2 linked regions of the Drosophila melanogaster genome follow. The protein of the gene in region 1 interacts with the protein of each later gene in a pairwise test. Each region holds a gene or a part of one and is shown in the gene's direction. Other genes may lie near its edges.

Region 1 (8,863 bases):
CCGAGAACTTCTGTGGCTCCGGAACCCTTTCACGGGAGTCCCTGTTCACGGAGCTGGTTTTCGCCTACATCTCCACCGGCACGAAGGGAGGAAGCTTTAAGTGCACCCTGACCACCGTCAAACAGAACTGTAATTGTGGCTGGTCGGCCACGACGCGGATTGCCAATGGCCAACAGGCGGCAGCCAACGAGTTTCCCAGCATGGCGGCCCTCAAGGATGTGACCAAGAACCAGGCGTCCTTCTGTGGCGGAACCATAGGTGCGTTATTACAGAATACAAGTGGAAAGGCTTCAAGTGGATATAAATAAAATAAGTCAAATAACCATTTGCGAACATGAAAAAGTTCAAGTTACGAAAATTTCAAGCTATTGAGTGCAATTCAAGGTATCTGAGTAATAGAATATATCTTATACATAATGAAAATGTCAATTTAATTAGGCTTGATTGGTAATAACATATTTTGAATTATATTATTTCAGTGGCCCATCGTTATATTTTAACTGCTGCCCATTGTATTTACCAAGTTAGCAGGGCCACGAATATTGTGGCTATTGTGGGAACCAATGACCTGGGAAATCGTAAGTTCGCAAAACTCATACAACTAAGAATACATAATAATTTAATGCCCTGTTATTAACCTAATTCTTTCTGATCCCGCTATTAAGCTTCCAGTTCCAGGTACTACCAGCAGTATAATATTCAGCAGATGATACCACATGAGCAGTATGTTAGCGACCCCGACGTAAACAATGATATCGCAGTTTTGATAACCGCCAGCAATATTCAGTGGTCCCGAGGCGTGGGACCCATTTGTCTGCCTCCCGTAGGAACGTAGGTTCCCCATTAAATATCCGTATTGTATTGAAACTAATTCGATTTCCCCTTTAGGAGCACACCATTCACTTACGACCTCGTCGACGTGATTGGCTATGGCACGGTCTTCTTTGCCGGACCCACGTCCACAAGTCTGCAGAAGATCAATCTGAATGTGGTCACCAACCAGGACTGCCAGACGGAGTACAACAATGTGGCCACGATATACACTGGGCAAATGTGCACCTATGACTACTCGGGCACAGGTCGCGACTCCTGCCAGTTTGACTCCGGTGGCCCAGTCATTCTGCGGAAGTCCAGGCAGTTCTTGGTCGGAATCATCAGCTACGGAAAGAGCTGTGCTGAATCGCAGTACCCGATGGGTGTCAATACCAGGATAACGTCGTATATTAGTTGGATACGCCAAAAGATCGGAAACTCCAATTGTGTTGTCAGCTTGTAATGTAAATAAATGGACCGGAAATAAATCTTCACAAAAAGGTTGTTTTTCTATGATTAGTGGTAAAGATTTCTAATCAGCCTTTAAAGGAAAAAGTTTTAATATCAAATAAAATGGTAGATCTTATTGCAATACTCATATTTTTTATTGCGGGTTGTCACTTCGTATGCGAAAGTTCTTTTTTAAGGCATATCTTTAAGTTTAACTTGCATTAAAAAGATATATAAATTGTAATATTTTCTCACCTTGACCTAAAAATCCAATTTAAGGTTCTCAAATATTTGCCCGGTATTTCAAAACAAAGAAATATACTTTTCCTTATCAATTCGAATGGTCTTATATAAGCTGCACCGTATCTTCATCGAGTTCACAGTTGCATCAGCTTCGCAACCATCATGTACGAACTAAAGATTACTGGGTTACTTTCGTTACTATATATTAGTTTGTCTTGTGCCCAACAACAGTGCACCAGATTCTTTGATTTGATCCCAAACCGAACGATTAATATAACCAGTTTTAATTACCCCGGCGCTATACCAAGTGGTTCTAACTGTCGATTTCGCTTGAAGGCACCCAGTAATCATGTTATCTACTTGAGCTGTCGCTTTGAGTTGGTAAGTTCTGTTCTAGAATATAAGCCATAATTAAAATATCACTTTAAAATGAATATCTTGCTTATAAAACATTGATTTCGTTCAAATTAGTTTCCCGACACCTGCGGCTCGGAGTTTCTTTTCATCTCCCGCGATGGCGACCTGCAGTTCCGGGATGGCGAACGGTACTGCCGCATGGGCCAGGTCAACCGGATATCCAACTTCCAGACCATGGCCTTCGCCTACTATTCGAGCAGTCCGCAGACCCAGCAGCGATCCAGACTCAATTGCCAAGCGGTGGCTCGACCGGCGCCCTGCGACTGCGGCTGGTCCTTCCCCAATCGCATAGCCAACGGAGTGGAGGCGGGAAAGCACGAGTTTCCCTCGATGGTGGGCCTCCGGGATCTGAGCTCCAACCTGCCCATCTTCTGCGGCGGCAGCATAGTCAGCGAGCGGTACATCATGACCGCTGCCCACTGTACCGCTCGCCAACCAGTGGCCAGTCGCCTATTGGCGCTGGTCGGGGAGCATGACTTGAGCACGGGTAAGCAATATGCATAGTTTGTTTGAGGACTATTTCTAAAATCCTAATTACTCTCAGGTGCCGAATCAATCTATGCGGCGCAGTATCGCATCCAAAATATCATCAACCATCCTGGTTACATGGAAACAGCATCGGGCAATATAAATGACATAGCCTTGCTCCAGACGGCGACCCCAATTGAATGGTCCCGCGGAGTGGCGCCCATATGTCTTCCCATTAGACAGGCGTAGGTTTAGCTCTCATATCTAAAGTCGTGTAATCGTAAAATTTGATTTTCTCACAGGGAGAACAGCTTCAACTACCAGAACGTGGACATCATGGGTTGGGGAACCCTGGGCTTCGCTGCCTCCAAGTCGAACACTCTGCAAAAGGCCACACTGCTGACCATGGACAATGCCGTCTGCCGGAGTCGCTTCAACTCCAGCATAACTCCCAGCCACCTGTGCACGTACGATGCTGGCGGCAGGGGCCAGGACTCCTGCCAGTACGACTCCGGCGGTCCGGTGATCCTGCGCCAGCGGGAGCGGATGTTCCAGTTGGGCGTGATCAGTTACGGCCGAGCCTGCGGTCAGCCTTTTGGCATCGGTGTCAACACTCGGGTCACTTCGCACCTCAACTGGCTGTGGCGCTATATAGGCGGATCTGTGTGTGTGCGTTAAGGATATGCGTCGGATGAATGCCCAAATGTGTGCACAGAAAGAAACAATATTGACCATAAAATTAATTTTATCATATATTGTTACGAGCATGAGTTGCACAGAGTTTTTACATTTAAAAAATTATCTTATTACTGTAACTTTTGATTAAACAGACTTCTTTGATAATAGATAATCGTATTTGAAGTTGGCAAAAAAAAATCTACTCGGCTAGTGATTATGATCCAGACTACGTATATTTCTTCTTAAAATCACTTAGAATCTCTTAGAATTGTACGCCTTTTCTTTTATTTTGTATGTATATGTGTATAAAAATAAAAAATGCAAAATATGAAAATAATGAAATTTAATGATAAAACTTAGTTGGGTGAACGGCTTTCATACCTTATACCTTACATATGTATATACCTTACTTAAATACCTTACCTAAAGCATTTTATTCGTCATGTACAACTGCTATAGCAGTGGTATATAGTACTCGAAATTTTTTCCTGTGCACACGCATATTTTAGAATATAGTTCCTCAGAGTCATTCCTTGGCCGACCTCCTTGCACTTTCTTCAGGCATTTGTCGGCGTTGTCTTGAGTTTGGCAAAGTGTTGACAAAGGCCTTAATTTGCATTTAAATTAAAAAGCAGTGACATGTTTCTGCCTACATTTAAACAACGAACAAGCTCGGCAGCCCCGCACTTACCAATCATACCCCGCTGGCCATGAAGAACCGCCAGGCGTAGTTCTTTGTGTGCAATAAAGTTTTATCGCATACTCTATCTGAATATGGTTGGCACTATTAGTTCACCGTATTTCCCAGTGTTTAATTAAGGCTACACAATCGACATATGGGAAAGCGAAAAATCTGATTCTAGTATATCAGAGAAAATTAAAATTTAAAATTAATTGGGTCATAACATTGGATTTTCAGGTTTTCAAAAGCGGGAAAGTGTACAGATTTCTCATAGTTATCCAGTGTATTTTCGTATTTATTGTAAAATTGCTTTATTCATAATTGTTGTTGTAATTGTGGACTAACTCAATTCCATGACTCGCAGTTGTTGTTGCTTCCATTTGGAAATTGCGTTAAATTCGTCCCAGGACTTATCGGGCCACCAAAGGACCTCGCACCACTGCAGCTGATGCAAAATTAATAAATGTTCATGTGACGAAGGCAAATTGTGTTTTTGGTCTATGATTTTCATTTTGGCTTTGTTGTTTAATTTGCCCGAAAGACTCAAGTCGCAATCAAATTGAATTCCTTGTGGCTGTAAATAAATTATGATATTTTCTTTAGCAGCACACATGTTTTTTTTTCTTCTGTCCTGTCTATTCAGTGAGAAATCGAAAACTAAATTGGCCGAGAACAGTAAACATTTGTTTTGGTGTCAGTGTTTTACGAAGACTTCAACACACGACTGGTTGTGTATTTCATTTTAGAAATAGTTTTCCCCTAAAGACAACCAAAATTTTCTTGCCCGAGCGCCTTGTTTTTATTAAATTAAAATTTTAGTAGACCCAATTTCGGCCGAAGAATTTGAGTCTTATCATAAATTAGCCGGTTAAATCAGAGAATTTAGGGGAACCAGAAATAACAAAGATGCCAATATTCGTGAAAAACCTGCCATGCATTCGCCACCTGGCCAAGCGGAGTCTAATTGAGGGGCGGCGCTGGATATCGGGCCTAGAGAAAGGTCAAAACAGCGCAGCCCAAAACGTAAATCCCTGCCACAAGGACTGGCCCATGAGAGAGGAGTCTTTTGCGGCAGCCCAGCTGCTCCGCCAGAGGCAGCAGAACCGCCGGTGGAGCAACAACTACTCCGGCCTGGACTCCGCCATGTTCCGACCAGTTGCCAAACCGGATGAGATGGTGCCCCGCCGCAACAATGTGGTGGCCGCCCAGAACGCGGCCAGGAGGCGGAACTTCAAGTCGGCGCAGGTGTCCCAATACCAGCAGAGGCAGGAGGAAGAGCAAAGACTGGACGGCGATCCAGAAGCCAAGGCCGAGGAGCACGACTACGAGTCGGATCTGGAGGTTCGATCGGTACGGGAGACCGTTTTCGGACCGCCGGAGGACAACTCGGAGGAGGAGATGGATCGCGCCCGGGCTGAGCAGGAGCTTCTCCAACGCGTGGCCAGCGCCTCCAAGCAAACGGAACGTTTGCCCGATAGCGCCTCCATTTCCCGAAAGGTCATCTCGCCATACAACTCCTACCGCAGCCATCGCACCCGCTGGGCGGAGTTCCGGCACAACATGATCTTTGGCCGTACGAGTTACTGAGCCAACAGGAGCCTCAACAGAAGGTTCATCCTTATCCGTTGACGTCTCCCTTTCCGGAAGTGTGAAATTTACGGTTGCATTTTTACGCGATTTTCAAGAGCAAATAAAAAGTTTGGTCTTCAAAATTATTTTATATGCTATATATTATTTGAATATGTAAACATCTTCCCGGAAAATCATGTAACAGGCTAGATGAAGCGGCCATGCCCAACTATGGAAGTACAGATAATGGGTATCTAATAGTCGAGGCTCTCGTCTAAAAGATCGGCAAGGACATTCAGACAAGTGAAACCATAGCAATCATTGAATTTTCATTCTTTGAGGAACAATAAATGAATCTCAGTAGTCTTTCCGGCGTACATCCCAATTACTTGGGATTACAAAATTATCCAAATTTGTCATACTTTTGAGCCATGATCAATATTCTTAGGACACTGTCAGGCAGAGGTCTTCAACTCACCAGGAGACTTCATCGACGACCCCAGATCTGCCAGAAGCCCGGAGTCTTTGTCCATCCGGAGCTGCGTCGCACTATTCCCCTCGTTTACTTCAGCAAAGGGGAACTGCCACCTAAACCGAATCAAGAAGTCTCATCCAACCGGCAGTGCGAAATATCTCCTTCGGAGAAGAATCGAAAAAGCACGGAGGCCTTTGATCAGTTTTGTAAAAGACAACGGCAATGCTTTTCCAGCACCTACCAGTGGGCAGAGTTCCGGCGAAAGATGATCTACGGCAGTTACTAGTATGAAGCCACCCAGAAAGGACCAAATCCAGTGAAAGACTCCTTTTTATTCATTAGCCCCTGCATTGTGACTTAAAAAGTGTTTTGTTTGGATCTAATTCGCCAGCGAAGTAATAACAAGAGGCTTTATAAGCCACAATGCACTGCAGTCTGAAATGCATAGTTGAATTCAAGCAATAAAACAGGATAACATAGATAACTGAATTTATTTCTTCTCTTCTTGGTTCGACTAAACAACCTTTAGCTAATAGCTTCTGCAGTTCCGTTTATTATTATAACAAGTATCCTTAACCCTTTTTGCTACTTAGCACGCAGGTTTGCTCTCAAAAACTAGCGACATACTTTGGCATACCTGCGCATCCTTCTGTTCTGAGAAAAGCCAAATACAAACAAGGACTGGGTGGAAAAGTGGCAAAGGAAAGAATGGAGAGAGGCACCAAGTGCACTCAAGTAATATGCTTCATAATTTTTATTGTCAAGCCCTTTTCTTTTGGCTCGGGTGGCACTGGCGCGCACTCGACAACAAAAGCTCAAAAGCGCTTGGGAAAAATGTGAAATAAAAAATGACTATGAAAAGCAAAGGCGGAAAATGAAGTGCACTGGGGGCGTGGAGCTGGTAGTGGTGGTGCTGGTGGCAGAGACAAGAGTGCAACAAAGCAGACCGGGCAGCATAAATTTTATAATATAGAAAAAATCAATGGCCAACGGGGGCACAAAAAATGCAGAGCAGCAAGGATTACGGTCCGGGTCTAGGCACTTTTCATTCAAAGCACTGTCCTACTAGAAGGCACTCGGAAAAAAGAGTTGCAACAATGAACTAATTAACCAACTATACTCACTAAAGAAGGTTATTTTTAATTCATTTCATTAAATTCAAGCAAGTATTTTTCCCAGCATTTCCGTATTTTCATTGGAATCACATGCATTACTATAATTATTTCGTTTGGTGCTTCGCTTTTTGAATTCTGCTCCTCACTTCAAAGCTGCACAATTAACTTGGTCCGCAAATGCTGTGATTTCGCCACTCGCTCCCATTGTTGCCAGTTAATTTTGATGGATTTTTTATTGCCTTGTTGCAAAATTTGCATTTCACTCTGCCGTTCACTGCACTTGGCCGCGTAATTAGGCGCACAACTCGCAGCACGGCTTTGATGTGCCGTCCTGCGAATTGGGCTAAGTAAGGACGAGTGCCGAGGACCTTAATTGTTTAATTATGTTTTGTGCTTTGGTCTCGAGTACGTGCAATGCGATAATTGCTGAAAAGGGAACGCACTCAAATAATGTTACATTATCATTTTTTAGGTTAGCCAAAAGAAAATGAAATGTGTGATAGGTACACTTAGCTGCTTATCGAACAATTAACTGAATATGTTCTAGAAGAGGCTTTAAGAGGAGGTTTCTTTTTAACCCAGTCAGCTTTTCTTTTTAACTAGTCAGCTTTTAGTAACACATAGCCCCGTTTTACTTTTTCTACGTTCCTCCCATTTAACAGGCAAACTAATACAATAGACAAGTCTTAAATTTACATACTCCCTCCTTTCGGCCAATCCTTTAAGCCAAATAAACGCTACACCACAGTACAACTGCATCCAGCTGAAGGCTAACCAATACCTAAGGTATCCGGACCACGAAATTACAGGCAAATCCGACTAGTTTCATCCCCTTTCCAAATGCTGCCAGCCAATGGAAACCAATCGGCCCTATCCGCCTATGTCCGACTGGCGGTCCAGCAAGCCACGTCCCGGATGACTGGAAGATTCGCCTACTCGACGCGCCGAAACCAGTGCGTTGGGGATCTGAAGAAGATCGACGAAGTCCTGTGCCACCAGCGGGATGAACCCAATCCAGAGTACCATCATGCTCCGCGATGCTTTGTTAAGAACTTTCATAAGTACCAGGAGCAGGCGCAGGATCACGGAGAGGTGCAGACGACCCGCTTCCGCAATCCGCGATACCGCTGGGCAGACTTCCGGCGACGAATGGTTTATGGCACCTACGATATCTAGACGGTTTCTCTTGAAGCTCTCTGCAATCAATTTCCATCCGGACATGTCTTGTACGAGTATAGTCCCCCCCCCAGTCTATCCATAACGAAGTATCCCAAACCCACATGCAAACTGTACAATAGTAAGAATTTTGAGGCCAGATAAACGGATCCAACTCGGTCGTCCGCTCAAATTGCAATATAATTCAGCACAGAATAAATCCGTTACCTCTTAAGTTTATTGTGCACTTCGTTTGAACTTAGTAGGACTATGTATGAGTATTGGCCAGATTTTAGATGGTACCTTTAAATTGAAATAAGGCCAAGGCCAAATGTGTCACCCCCCCCCCCCCCTTATTTATTGGAGAACCGTATACCCCTCATATATATCAAAGTATTATTTGATAAAATTAAAAATAAACATTTATATTAAAATACATTATCTTCCATTTAAACGCTATTACCCACACTCACGGCTTCGAATCCGAGTCCAAAGCTACCGGACTTTTATCCATCATGTCCGCAATTGGTTCCGTGTCCGAAAACTGACGATGCGGCCCTCGCACGGTATTGATTAAGAGGGTGCGGTGGGGCTGGAAACTTAGCTCGTCCGTAACTCGTGTCATGTCCTTCCCGTAGTCGGCGTCCATGTGGCGCAAGTTGAGGAAGCTCTTGACCAGCAGGAAGGGCGGCCTTTTTAGATCGGTCCATGAACTCTTACGGTCCTGGAGCTTTACGGGCGCAGGTCTGCGATGGTACGGAAGCCTGTGCTCTGACATTCGTCGCCTCTGCTGTAGCC
Region 2 (10,795 bases), on another chromosome or scaffold:
GGCAATGGCAACCGAAGTGGAAATCGAGCCACCACTACCAGCACCACCAGTCACAGTCGCCAAGCGCCCGCAGCTCCCGGCGAAGCCAGCACAGCAGCAGCAACAACAGGCGGCGCGTAGGGCCAGGCCATCGGTGCTGCTTAAGCCGCAGTACGCCTGCTTCCTTCAGCACGACGATGATGCACCCAAATCCCAGCCAACTGCTGCTGGACGACCGCGCAAGGCAGCCTCGTTTTCATTGGGCAATCAACGGCAATCGAAGGAGCAGCAGCAACATCATCATCATTACCAGCCACAGCATCAGCAGAGTAAATATGAACGCAACGATTGCAGTAGGAGTCGGGGCAGTTGCGAGAGTCCAGCTCCAGAACACCAGCAGCGACGTCGTCGGCCTAGTCTGCCGTCGTCGCTGGCTTTGTCCAATGCCAGCTCGGCCCTGCTCCAGGCACGCATTCCAGGCACCACGCTCTACTATGTCTGATGGCCACCCGATATGAAAAGCATTAGACTCCAAACTCCAGATAACCAGATATCCAGATAACCAGATACTCCAACTCCGAACCGATTTGAAACCGCCAGCGAAACGTAGGCATTGCCCAAGCTTTACTATATGTTTACAACTAGGCTAAAGAACACCCATCATCCCTTGGATACCTCTTGGTGACCCCGTTCCGCTCCCAAAAAAAAAAAAAAACAAAAATATATATTGGTTTGATGGCCGCTAAACTGTAAAGTGTAACCCTGTGCATATCCGACTCACTCCAAAACAAATAACTCAATGCGGAAACCAGGAACACCAAACCCGAACACACCAATCACAACACACACAAGAAAACAAACACTGGGGCAACCGGACACTCGAAACACACGTTTAATCGATTCATAGATGCGATTCACGATGCTTCCCGATGTCGATGCACTGCCGCCGTTAATCGTTTATGCGATGCTCTGGATAACAATCAACAGTAATTCGCGAATTAGCGAGCGAAGAATACGCGAAGGATGATGGATTTTAGAACTAACCTAAATGATGGATAATGCTGGTGTCCCCATGTTTCACTAAAACCAAACCATGTTCCTATGACTGCTGCTTGATAATGCCCTGCTCCCCCGTCTGTATTCATTATCCACAACCTTAGGTATAAGATGCTCCATAGTCTTTAGCAACCATTATATGATAGTTTACCTAGTAAATCGTATGCCAATCATCAGATTGAACTGTACTATGCCCACCCAGCCCATGTGGAAGTTAAAGATTATTGTAGAAAACTATTTAGGTCACCTATAAATGTTGGCAACGCCTAAGAATTAAGCTAACTACTCAGCTAGAGATCGCAGAAACCGAAACAATTGCGATAATTGATAACTAAGTGTTCATGGCAAATTTTGGGGTGTAACTAAACGTTTAATAAACGAAAAGTAAAGCAACTAAAGCTGCAGACAAATCAAAGAACCTTTATGTAGCGGCTAATTTCGACATGTGTTCGGTGTAAACCAAACAAAAACGAATCACAGAACACTAGTTAGTGACTATTTTCATTTCAGTTACGTACTTAAGTATATATATTTGTGCACCCGTGTGAGTTGGCGTTAGTTATGTGTTATGTGCTTATGTATGTTTGCTTTGTTTGGCTCAGTTCGGTTTGGTATGCAGTTGTGGGGCATGTATTGAATTGCAATTTGCGATTTGAAATTGTAGCCATGTAGTTACGCTAACCTACCTTCTCGCCCCCGCTGTTTCACGCCACCCAAATGGTTTTTCATTTCAACAACAACCTTTTGTTAAAGTCACCGCTGTCGCTTTGTTTGTTTGCTATTTGTTTACTTCTATTTCTATTTTTTGTTCATACCAATTTCTTTTTGCAGATATTATTTAAATGTAACAGAATACATAAGCAAAGCGTTGAAATAATATCTATTGTATACCAAAACCAAAAATATCTATGATAACAAACAAGCAAAGGCAATTAAACCGATCCGTAAACTGAATAACCGATTAATAACTGCAGCCGCTCAACCCGAACCGCAATAAATAACTATCAAGTAAAGAATAGAACAACTTAACAATGAAAAATGCAATATTCAATATGCGAAATGACAAATGCCTAATGCCAAATGCCAATCCAAATAACCCAATAACCGATTCAAGTGCGAGAACAGAAATGCCACACCTCTAACCCAGTGCACTTGCTCTGTCTGCTCCGCTGGGCAATCAAACTAATCGCCAATTCATATTATTATTAAGGTAACTAACCCAGATTAGAACAGACACTCGAACACACGCACACACCAGCCACCAACACCACTTGGCACATCCTAGTCATATCATCAACTTCCATCGCTCATCTCCACTTCCATTTCTTTATCCACTGGTCATGTTTCGTTTTCATTTGCTTGAAAAGATCCAGGCGAGATCCTCCTTTATCCACAACACCGTCACCTCATCTCGATTATATATACATATAAATATATATATATATGTTCTGAAATATATATTTCCCAACTCGGAGCCACCTTATTTATCATTGTACTAACCCCAAATCCTTGGAAGGATTTAAACCCACTTGAAATAAAGATATACAGTCGATTAATCTCGTTCTACACATAATTGCAGGCTCCACGGCTCTGGGCTTCTACACGCCCATGAAGGGCACGGCGATGGACAACCTATTCCAGCTGGGTGTCACCCGATACGCCCTGCCCGAGAGCAGCAGCAGTGGGAGCAGCAATGGCAGCCACAGTCCAGGCAGCAACGGGAGCAGTCCAGCCGGAGCTGCGGGCAGCCGGTTGATGTTCAACGGGAATGGCAGCATTATGGGCATCGGCGAGGGACTGATCAAGGAGGGCGACTTGGCGGCAACGGAAGCAGGACCTGGAACTGCAGATGGAGCAGGTGCCTCCAAGAAGGGTTCAGCTGTGGACGAGGATGATTACCATCTGACGGCGACGCCGGGCGCCGAAGTTGTGTACAGCGAGGGTACACAGAAAACGGATTTGCTATATTAGGTCGTCCTGCCAGCCAAAAAACCGGAGCGTCTAGCTCTTTTTCTACCGGTTTCCACCAAACTCCAAACCTTCCGAGCATAACAACCTACCACATCCTGATCGTTCCCCTAATTGAAAAGCGTGCACTTAGGTGAAATATCAACTTCGGTTAGACGCGAAAACAGTAACGAAGGAAAGAAAAATAAAAACAACAAGGCAACGTAAACCAAGTATGGCAAGAAATCCATAAAGATACGTATATAAATAGATATTATTTGTAAGTTTGTAAGCCTAGAGATCCGATGTGTATGTGTACAACAGCAAGCGTGTGTGTCTGTCTTCTTTATAAATATATATATATGGTTTTTTTTTTTTGATAAATTAATAATTATATTATTGTAATGTATCTACATACGGCACTGAATGAACAACTTTGCTGCTGCAATTGTATTTGTATTTGTATTGTGTATTCCATTTACGGCATTTTGATAGTAAATATACAACAACAACAAATCAACGTATTTCCGACTGCATCCCGAAGGTTACTGAAACCTTAATCCACGAAGTACGCGACGAGCGGTTAGTCCCGCCCGAGTATTAACTTAATGGATTCTAACGATCCGATCTTGTGACCCATCATCATCCCTTTTCGCGACCCTTCCAAAACGAAAATGAAGAACATTCTAAGCTCCGCTTGCCCATTCAGCGGAAGAAAGCAAAGGAAAATGTAACATTTGCCTCATAATTATTATATACATTTAGCGCTTATTGAATATTTTTTACAATTGTATTCCGTAAATAAATATAAAATACATCAACATCTAGTCGCGTGTTTTAAGTTAAAGGAAGTTAAGGCCAAAGCAAAATGTTAGCAACAGTTTTTGTTAAAAGTTAACATATATAATAATGGTAATTTAAATATTCAAATCTATGAAGTGACTTATTTTATAAGTCCACTTATGTTTGTTATATTTAATTGGTATTTAGAAAAGGATTCATTTTAAATTAACACCGTTGAGGGTTCAATTTTGGTAGTGCGTCTTTGCTAACCATGCCGAGTGGGATCAAGTCCTTGCTAAGTTAGGATGTTGTCTTAGCTAACTGTGCCATCCCTGGTCGGGGTGTGTCTTAGCTAACAATTACGTGTCGATAGATATAATGCTATCGATATGACAGAGTGTCGGGAACAATCGATAGCATTACTTCGATATCGGTACTAGTGCCACCTCCAGTTTTGTGATTGTGTCAAAAATACAGGGTTTTATTGTTGCACTAGCAATTTAATCCGAGGAATATAAATTTTGTGTGGAGTTATGTTCGAGACGTCGTTGCCAGCGATTCAAGAGGCGAGCGGTCACACGTGTATGTGTTTCACTGGCGGTGCGGGCGCCAACTCCGCCAAAAAGCGTACTACTTTTAACCTTAGTTGACATTGAAATGTACCCGCTTAGTTGGATGTCCACGATGGTGCGTGTGTGTGCGTATATGTGTGCTATGCGGCGTCTGTGTGCGCGAGTGTGTGTGTGGGATTGCAAAGGAGGATGGGAGAAACGAGAGCAGAGCAAAAACAAAAACAAAAGGAACCTGCTGCACATAGTCGGTGCATGCGAGCGTGCTTATGTGTGTGTGCGTGCGTGCTAGCAAAACAACTGCAAGAAATCAGCAACAGTAGTAGAAGAAGAGAAGCTGTATCACTGATAAGGAGGCTAAACAACAACAAAAACAGCAACGATAATGTGCACCCTTTCGAAATGCAAACAAAACAAAGCGTTGTAGTTGTGTAATCATTCGTTGTGAACACACCACACACACACACACACACAACACTTGTTTAATAATACATTTTAATTCTATTATTTTTGATTTAATTTTTGCCTGTTATTCAAATCGATCTGTGTTTTTGCAGTTGGCATTCGTTATTAATTAAATCAGCCGCCAACAGCTGAGCGAGAGAGCAATCGAGAGCGACAGGAGAGGATCCACTTCCAATCGAATCGGGTGGAATCGAATAGCAGGGGCTTGGTAATTAAAAGGAAGACCGAACTGAACTGAACTAAACTGAAACGGAACGAAGCGAAGCGAAGCGCGGCGAGGCGGCAAGAAACGAAAAGAAAAGAACGAAAGTCGGCAGAGTCGGAAAGTCGGCAAGTCTGATTGTCGGCAAAGTCGCAAAGTCGGAGAGTCACAGTCTCAATCGCAGTCGGCGAGAGATTCCACTCGTGTCGCACGTCCGTTCGTTTCCACATTGTCGTTATAAAAATAGCAACGCCTTAAACGATCGCATCAACCTCATCAACAGAACACCACCAGAAATCACCGCCCCCTCCTACGCCTCAATCGCCATCGCCACCGCATCCCATCCCCATCATCTTCATTAGCAGGCAGCCTGACAGAGTAACTAACTGATCTTGATTGCGACCATAATCACCGTCATCATCATGTAATCCTTCACTAACCAATTGATTTCCGCTCGTCCACCAAATAGATTCCAAACTGCCGTTTCGGCAGCCGGCAAGATTTCACGAAATCTAATGGCCAAGGACGAGGAGGATGATCTGCTGCCCGACAAGGATGCGGCCAAGGGCTTCTATGCCAAATACGAGCCCAAGGAGATTCTGGGCAGGTAAGAATCGAACTACACTTGCCGTGATCTCAAACCTCTTATTAAATCCTTTTAAATTCAGTTGAAGTATTATTGATCCTGCACTTAACCATTCAAATACGTTTCTTTCTATTTACTTTGCGTAGTTAATTTTGCAAATTTAAGATCATAGAAACATTGATACTTGTATCCTCAGAAATCACTAGAACGTCCAAATATTGATTGTTTCTGCTTTCCCAACCTCTTACTGCCAAGTCTGCAGTAATGCAGTTTGGGCTAAATGGTGCCAAGTGAGTCAGCCTCATCAAGCTTCCATGGCATGGAGCAATGGCATGGGCTGCTTTTCAAGCGGCGCCTGTCTGCCGGCCTACTCACGCCACAACGAAGATCAGAATTTGCCAAGCAAATAGCAGAGACTAAGCGAAAACAAGGGCTAATTACATATTACAATTCTAGGGATTAGAGATTAGATAAATACCCGATCATGGCAATGTCAAGTGCAGCAGAAGCAGAGCTCTTTATCTACATGCAATGTTTGTCTTACAGGGGCATCAGTTCGACCGTGAGGCGATGTATCGAAAAGGAGACGGGCAAGGAGTTTGCCGCCAAGATCATCGACTTGGGCGCCACCACAGAGTCAGGCGAGACGAATCCATATCACATGCTGGAAGCAACCAGACAAGAAATCTCAATACTGCGCCAGGTCATGGGGCATCCCTACATAAGTTAGTCTCACATAGCACCCACATGTACTTAATTCCACCACTAACCATCTACATTATCGTGCACAGTTGATCTGCAGGATGTGTTCGAGTCAGATGCATTTGTTTTCCTCGTCTTCGAGCTGTGTCCCAAAGGTGAACTCTTCGACTATCTGACCTCTGTGGTGACGCTATCCGAGAAGAAGACGCGCACCATTATGCGACAAATCTTTGAGGGCGTCGAGTACATACACGCGAAGAGCATTGTCCATCGGGATCTTAAGCCCGAGAATATCTTGCTGGACGAGAACCACAACGTTAAGATCACGGATTTTGGCTTCGCCAAGCAGTTGCAAGAGGGCGAGAAACTTACAAGTAATTATAACACAGCATCCTTCTGTATTCGCTAAGCTAAACTATATGTACTTTCCCCCTATTAGATCTGTGCGGAACGCCGGGTTATTTGGCTCCCGAAACGCTCAAGTGCAACATGTTCGAGGGATCCCCCGGCTACTCGCAGGAAGTCGACATGTAAGAGCGAATAAACTAGCCACTTATTATTACACCTTTTTTTGGCTCACTTAAATTATAGAAGCAATTTAAGCACAAAAAGTATCACATTTATTGTAATACGAATTGTCTGCTCAAATTACTAAATTGCTTATGTTAACAGCTAATTTTATTATTAAAAATTTTTGCTTACATAAAAAAAGAAAGGTCTAAACTTTTGTATCGATATTAGACCCGTTTTCCTTTTTTTTTTGTTTTATAGACGCAAATTTTGCTGATACATTTCATTAACTAGTGTTCCTCGTGTCAGGCGATTTGTTTTGATCTTTAGGTGTGCATTTTAATGAATGAGTCAGAAGCAGAAAGGCATAATAATCTGAAATCTGAGTAGTTCCGATACCGACGTCTATATTTCTTCGGTTCAGCAAAACGTAGGGCTTTTTGTATTTTTGAGTTCTTTAACGTTTCCCACTGGTATCTACGTTACTTGGTTTCAGCAGAAATTTTTAATAGGAAAAATTGACACCTTTTACCCATTTCTTTTTCGATTTCTTTTTGTTGTTCGCAGATGGGCCTGTGGCGTGATTATGTTTACGCTGCTCGTCGGTTGTCCACCTTTCTGGCACCGCAAGCAGATGGTCATGCTGCGGAATATCATGGAGGGCAAGTACAGCTTCACCTCGCCGGAGTGGGCTGATATTTCAGGTTGGTCAAATTGATATGCACATGCCAAACGTATGCTTATTTACTTGGTTTCGATTGATTGCAGAGGATCCCAAGGATCTGATACGCAAATGTCTAGTCGTTGATCCTTCGCAACGTATAACCGTCAAGGAAGTATTAAGACATCCATTCTTCAACCAAATGGTAAGTGCCGGAATTGTTGGCAGCCGCCGGGCTCCAATTACCACGACCACCACCACCACCACTACTACAACCGCCTGTACAAGAGGAAAATCAGTCAAATTAGTTCAATTAGTCGCCAAGAATGAGGTCCGCCTACGAGTCGTCTTTTGTGCTCGGGCAGCAGTCTATAGTTTTCGGGTTCCTGTTCTTGTACATAGATACTAGATCTCTAGTTGATGGGTTTAACCTCGGGTGGGTTAATCTTCTACACAACCAATCCACCAAAACAACCAAACACCTGGCCCTGCAAATGTTTCTAAACACAACGTACATCTAAGAACACACACTCTGATGGAAAGAACACCCACCTGTGACTCACAAACCAACCACTCACAACAGCCTATTAACAGCTTCTTCTTACTGTTACCTCCTAAAAATACGATTATGATTTATAATTCGGTTAGGGTAGCAGCCTAACCCCCCGTAGTTTAGTTCAATTGTCAGATTTATAGCCTGACAGGATCAGTCATTAGTTTGGATCCCCCGCCCCCCTTAAAAAGAAAAAGAAAGGAAAACCCTTCGGAACCTCTTGCGTTTTGTTAACTTTTTATTTCTATGATTACTATTTATTATACCAAACATTTTCTTTCTTCTTTTCCTTACATATAAACTATATATCAAATCGAATCCAATTAATTTTAAACGAACCCAAACGAACGATAACGAACACACACTACCATCGATAGCTGTTCGAGCAAAACATTGATGGCCTCAAGCGCAGCCTGTCGACCAAGTCCCGACGAATGAGTCGCATCACTGAGATCGCACTGGTAACGAACCGTTCCCGGACTAACCCAAGCTCTCTCTATCTCTTAATCTCTCTGTGCTGTGTGTCTCCGTGTTCATATATTGATATCGGAGCCGTAATCGTAATCGCTCTAATAACGATTATCCCGATAATCCTGATAATCCCGATAATAAAATCAAGCAATCGGGCCGGCAGACCCAACTCATGACCATATGCAACCCTGCCGGCCCAGCATTCGTGTGTCTGTTTTCCGTTGCATTCTGTTCTGTTTCGTTCTGTGCCGATCTAATATAACCCAGCTAAACTGTACATCATAGTGCATATCAATTGTATACTATACATACTTATTTATTTAAAATCCGTTCAGGTCATCTGTGCCAAGCATAATAACTTTTAACCGGCCGGCAATAGCCAGCGAAAAACGAAACAAAAACGAATACGTACCCGATCTGCTTCGTTTTTGTTTGCATCTGATTTGATTTGCTTGTCGACTGATCGATGCACCACAATGATAACAAAAAAAGAATATATATATATACATATATATAACCCTTCTCTATAATCCCATTCCTTGTTGTACTCGATGTTTTTTTGTCGATTTTGTGTGTTTTTTGTACAAATCAACCGATTGCCTCGATAACTAAAAACGATAACACACGTCTGCAGCTCTGCGCTCGCCATTTGAATCATAATCTGTTAAGTTAATAACTGTGTCTGCATGCCAACCAACCAAAAAAAAAGCAAAACAAAAATCCAGCAGGGTTTCCCTTATCCCAACCTCCAAAGAAAACCCCACAATTCCTATTTTGAGTCACTGCATGCAAGCGTGCATTAACCATTCAGTCAGCGAGAAGAAGATTTGAAGATTTGGCGATAGTAGATAGTAGAATTCACAGAATAGATACAATACCCCATCAAGGTGCATATAAGTATGAAACACGAAGGTATATATTATTGGTAGTCCACTAGGATGTTGTACACTTCCCACAGATCAAATAAGTAGACTGTAAGTTGAAGTCATTTTAGGTATTATATTCATATACGTATAAGAACGTCCTGTGCTTCACCCAACCCAATTTTTAATTTAACCTCCGTGACTGATAAACCAATTTTAATTTCTTCCGGGCCCACTCTGCTGCTGCCTCTGACCCTCCTGCCCACTGCCAATCTCATCCTTCCTCCGTCTCGCCTCGCCTTCGGTTTTTTGTTTATTAATCGCGGTGTCGACGGGATCAGGTGTTAATGGGTGATCGCCGGCATCCGGCCCCGCCCATCGCGCCCGCCCAAACGAACAGCAGGCATCTGCTGCAACCCGAGGCGTCATCGTATCGCTTTGGTCAGCTGAACAGTAGTTGCGCCGGTGCCCCCAATTATCTGTACTGTGCGCCACAGAGCTCCTACTCGTCGAATCGAATGCGCGACGGGGCGCTGGACGATGCGGGTGCCAGTGCTGCATCCGCCACCTGCCATGTCATGTCGCCATCCAACGCCTCCAATTCCTACGCCACCAACACCACAGCCAACACCTCGAACTCGGCCTTGGCATCCGCCTCCTCCCACAAAACGCTCACGGCGATGGTCTACTATCAGCAGCAACCGCAGCAGCATCAGACGCAGCAGCAGCAGCAACAGTACCAGCAGCAACAGACGACACAGCTGCCGGTGCAGCTGCAGTTGCAGCATCCACTATTGCAGACCGGTGGCGATGGCAAGCAATCGGTGTATGCACCTCCTACAGTGCAGGCAGGTTTTCCATTGATATTCTTTGATCTTGCTTACCCAACACGAATGGCCCAGCGGGCGATGGCAGGAATCGCTAGGGAAACGTTAAATTGCATACCACAGAGCAGGACGAGTGTGCCCCACAATTGCATTAGAGTTGCCTGAGATTTTTCATCATTAAAAGAATACTTAAAGCTTTGCTACGATCATTTTAAATGTTTATATACAAATGCCTTTTCTTGACAAATGTTTATTTGAACTATTTATTTAATTGTGTATGTTTATATTTCCTTAAATATTATATTTAAATGTTAACTTATGTTGATTACTTTTGAAACATTTAACTTTCTATATTAATTTAAATAATAATTTCGTTTAAGACTATATATCAGTCAGTTTTGTATGGAATTTTTCGTTTTTGCTAACGTTTTTTGACAGCCGCGTGGGTTATACCTAATATTTAGTTGCCACACGTACTATTACCGATTAATTTCTAGTGCTTTTAGTTGATTCGAATCAGTCCACTCCACTCCATTAATCATCAGAGACAAGCTGCACTCGATTCACCTTCATTGTATCACTCATCCATTAATCCATTTCACACCATTATGTCGTTCGGCT

The links.
Region 2: the proteins of CG12126 (region 1) and PhKgamma interact in a two-hybrid assay, tested with the Drosophila melanogaster proteins (one large-scale study listed by BioGRID).

Annotation. Positions count from the first base shown.
Region 1 is NT_033778.4:8,260,088-8,268,950, reverse strand, and holds CG12126 (uncharacterized protein), read left to right. Parts: upstream 1-5,672; 5' UTR 5,673-5,751; coding exon 5,752-6,081; 3' UTR 6,082-6,277; downstream 6,278-8,863. Other genes in the region: CG30371 (uncharacterized protein), read left to right, coding at 1-258, 480-578, 666-831, 889-1,276; CG30375 (uncharacterized protein), read left to right, coding at 1,669-1,887, 1,978-2,410, 2,468-2,636, 2,694-3,069; CG30376 (uncharacterized protein), read left to right, coding at 4,658-5,338; CG2291 (uncharacterized protein), read left to right, coding at 7,751-8,086; CG14759 (uncharacterized protein), read right to left, coding at 8,535-8,863.
Region 2 is NC_004354.4:11,690,933-11,701,727, forward strand, and holds the start of PhKgamma (phosphorylase kinase gamma), read left to right. Parts: upstream 1-4,204; 5' UTR 4,205-4,347; exon of another isoform or gene 4,348-4,452; intron 4,453-4,891; 5' UTR 4,892-5,379; intron 5,380-5,470; 5' UTR 5,471-5,516; coding exon 5,517-5,608; intron 5,609-6,133; coding exon 6,134-6,312; intron 6,313-6,378; coding exon 6,379-6,663; intron 6,664-6,728; coding exon 6,729-6,819; intron 6,820-7,366; coding exon 7,367-7,503; intron 7,504-7,567; coding exon 7,568-7,665; intron 7,666-8,390; coding exon of another isoform or gene 8,391-8,474; intron 8,475-9,688; coding exon 9,689-10,195; intron 10,196-10,795. Other genes in the region: bif (bifocal), read left to right, coding at 1-481.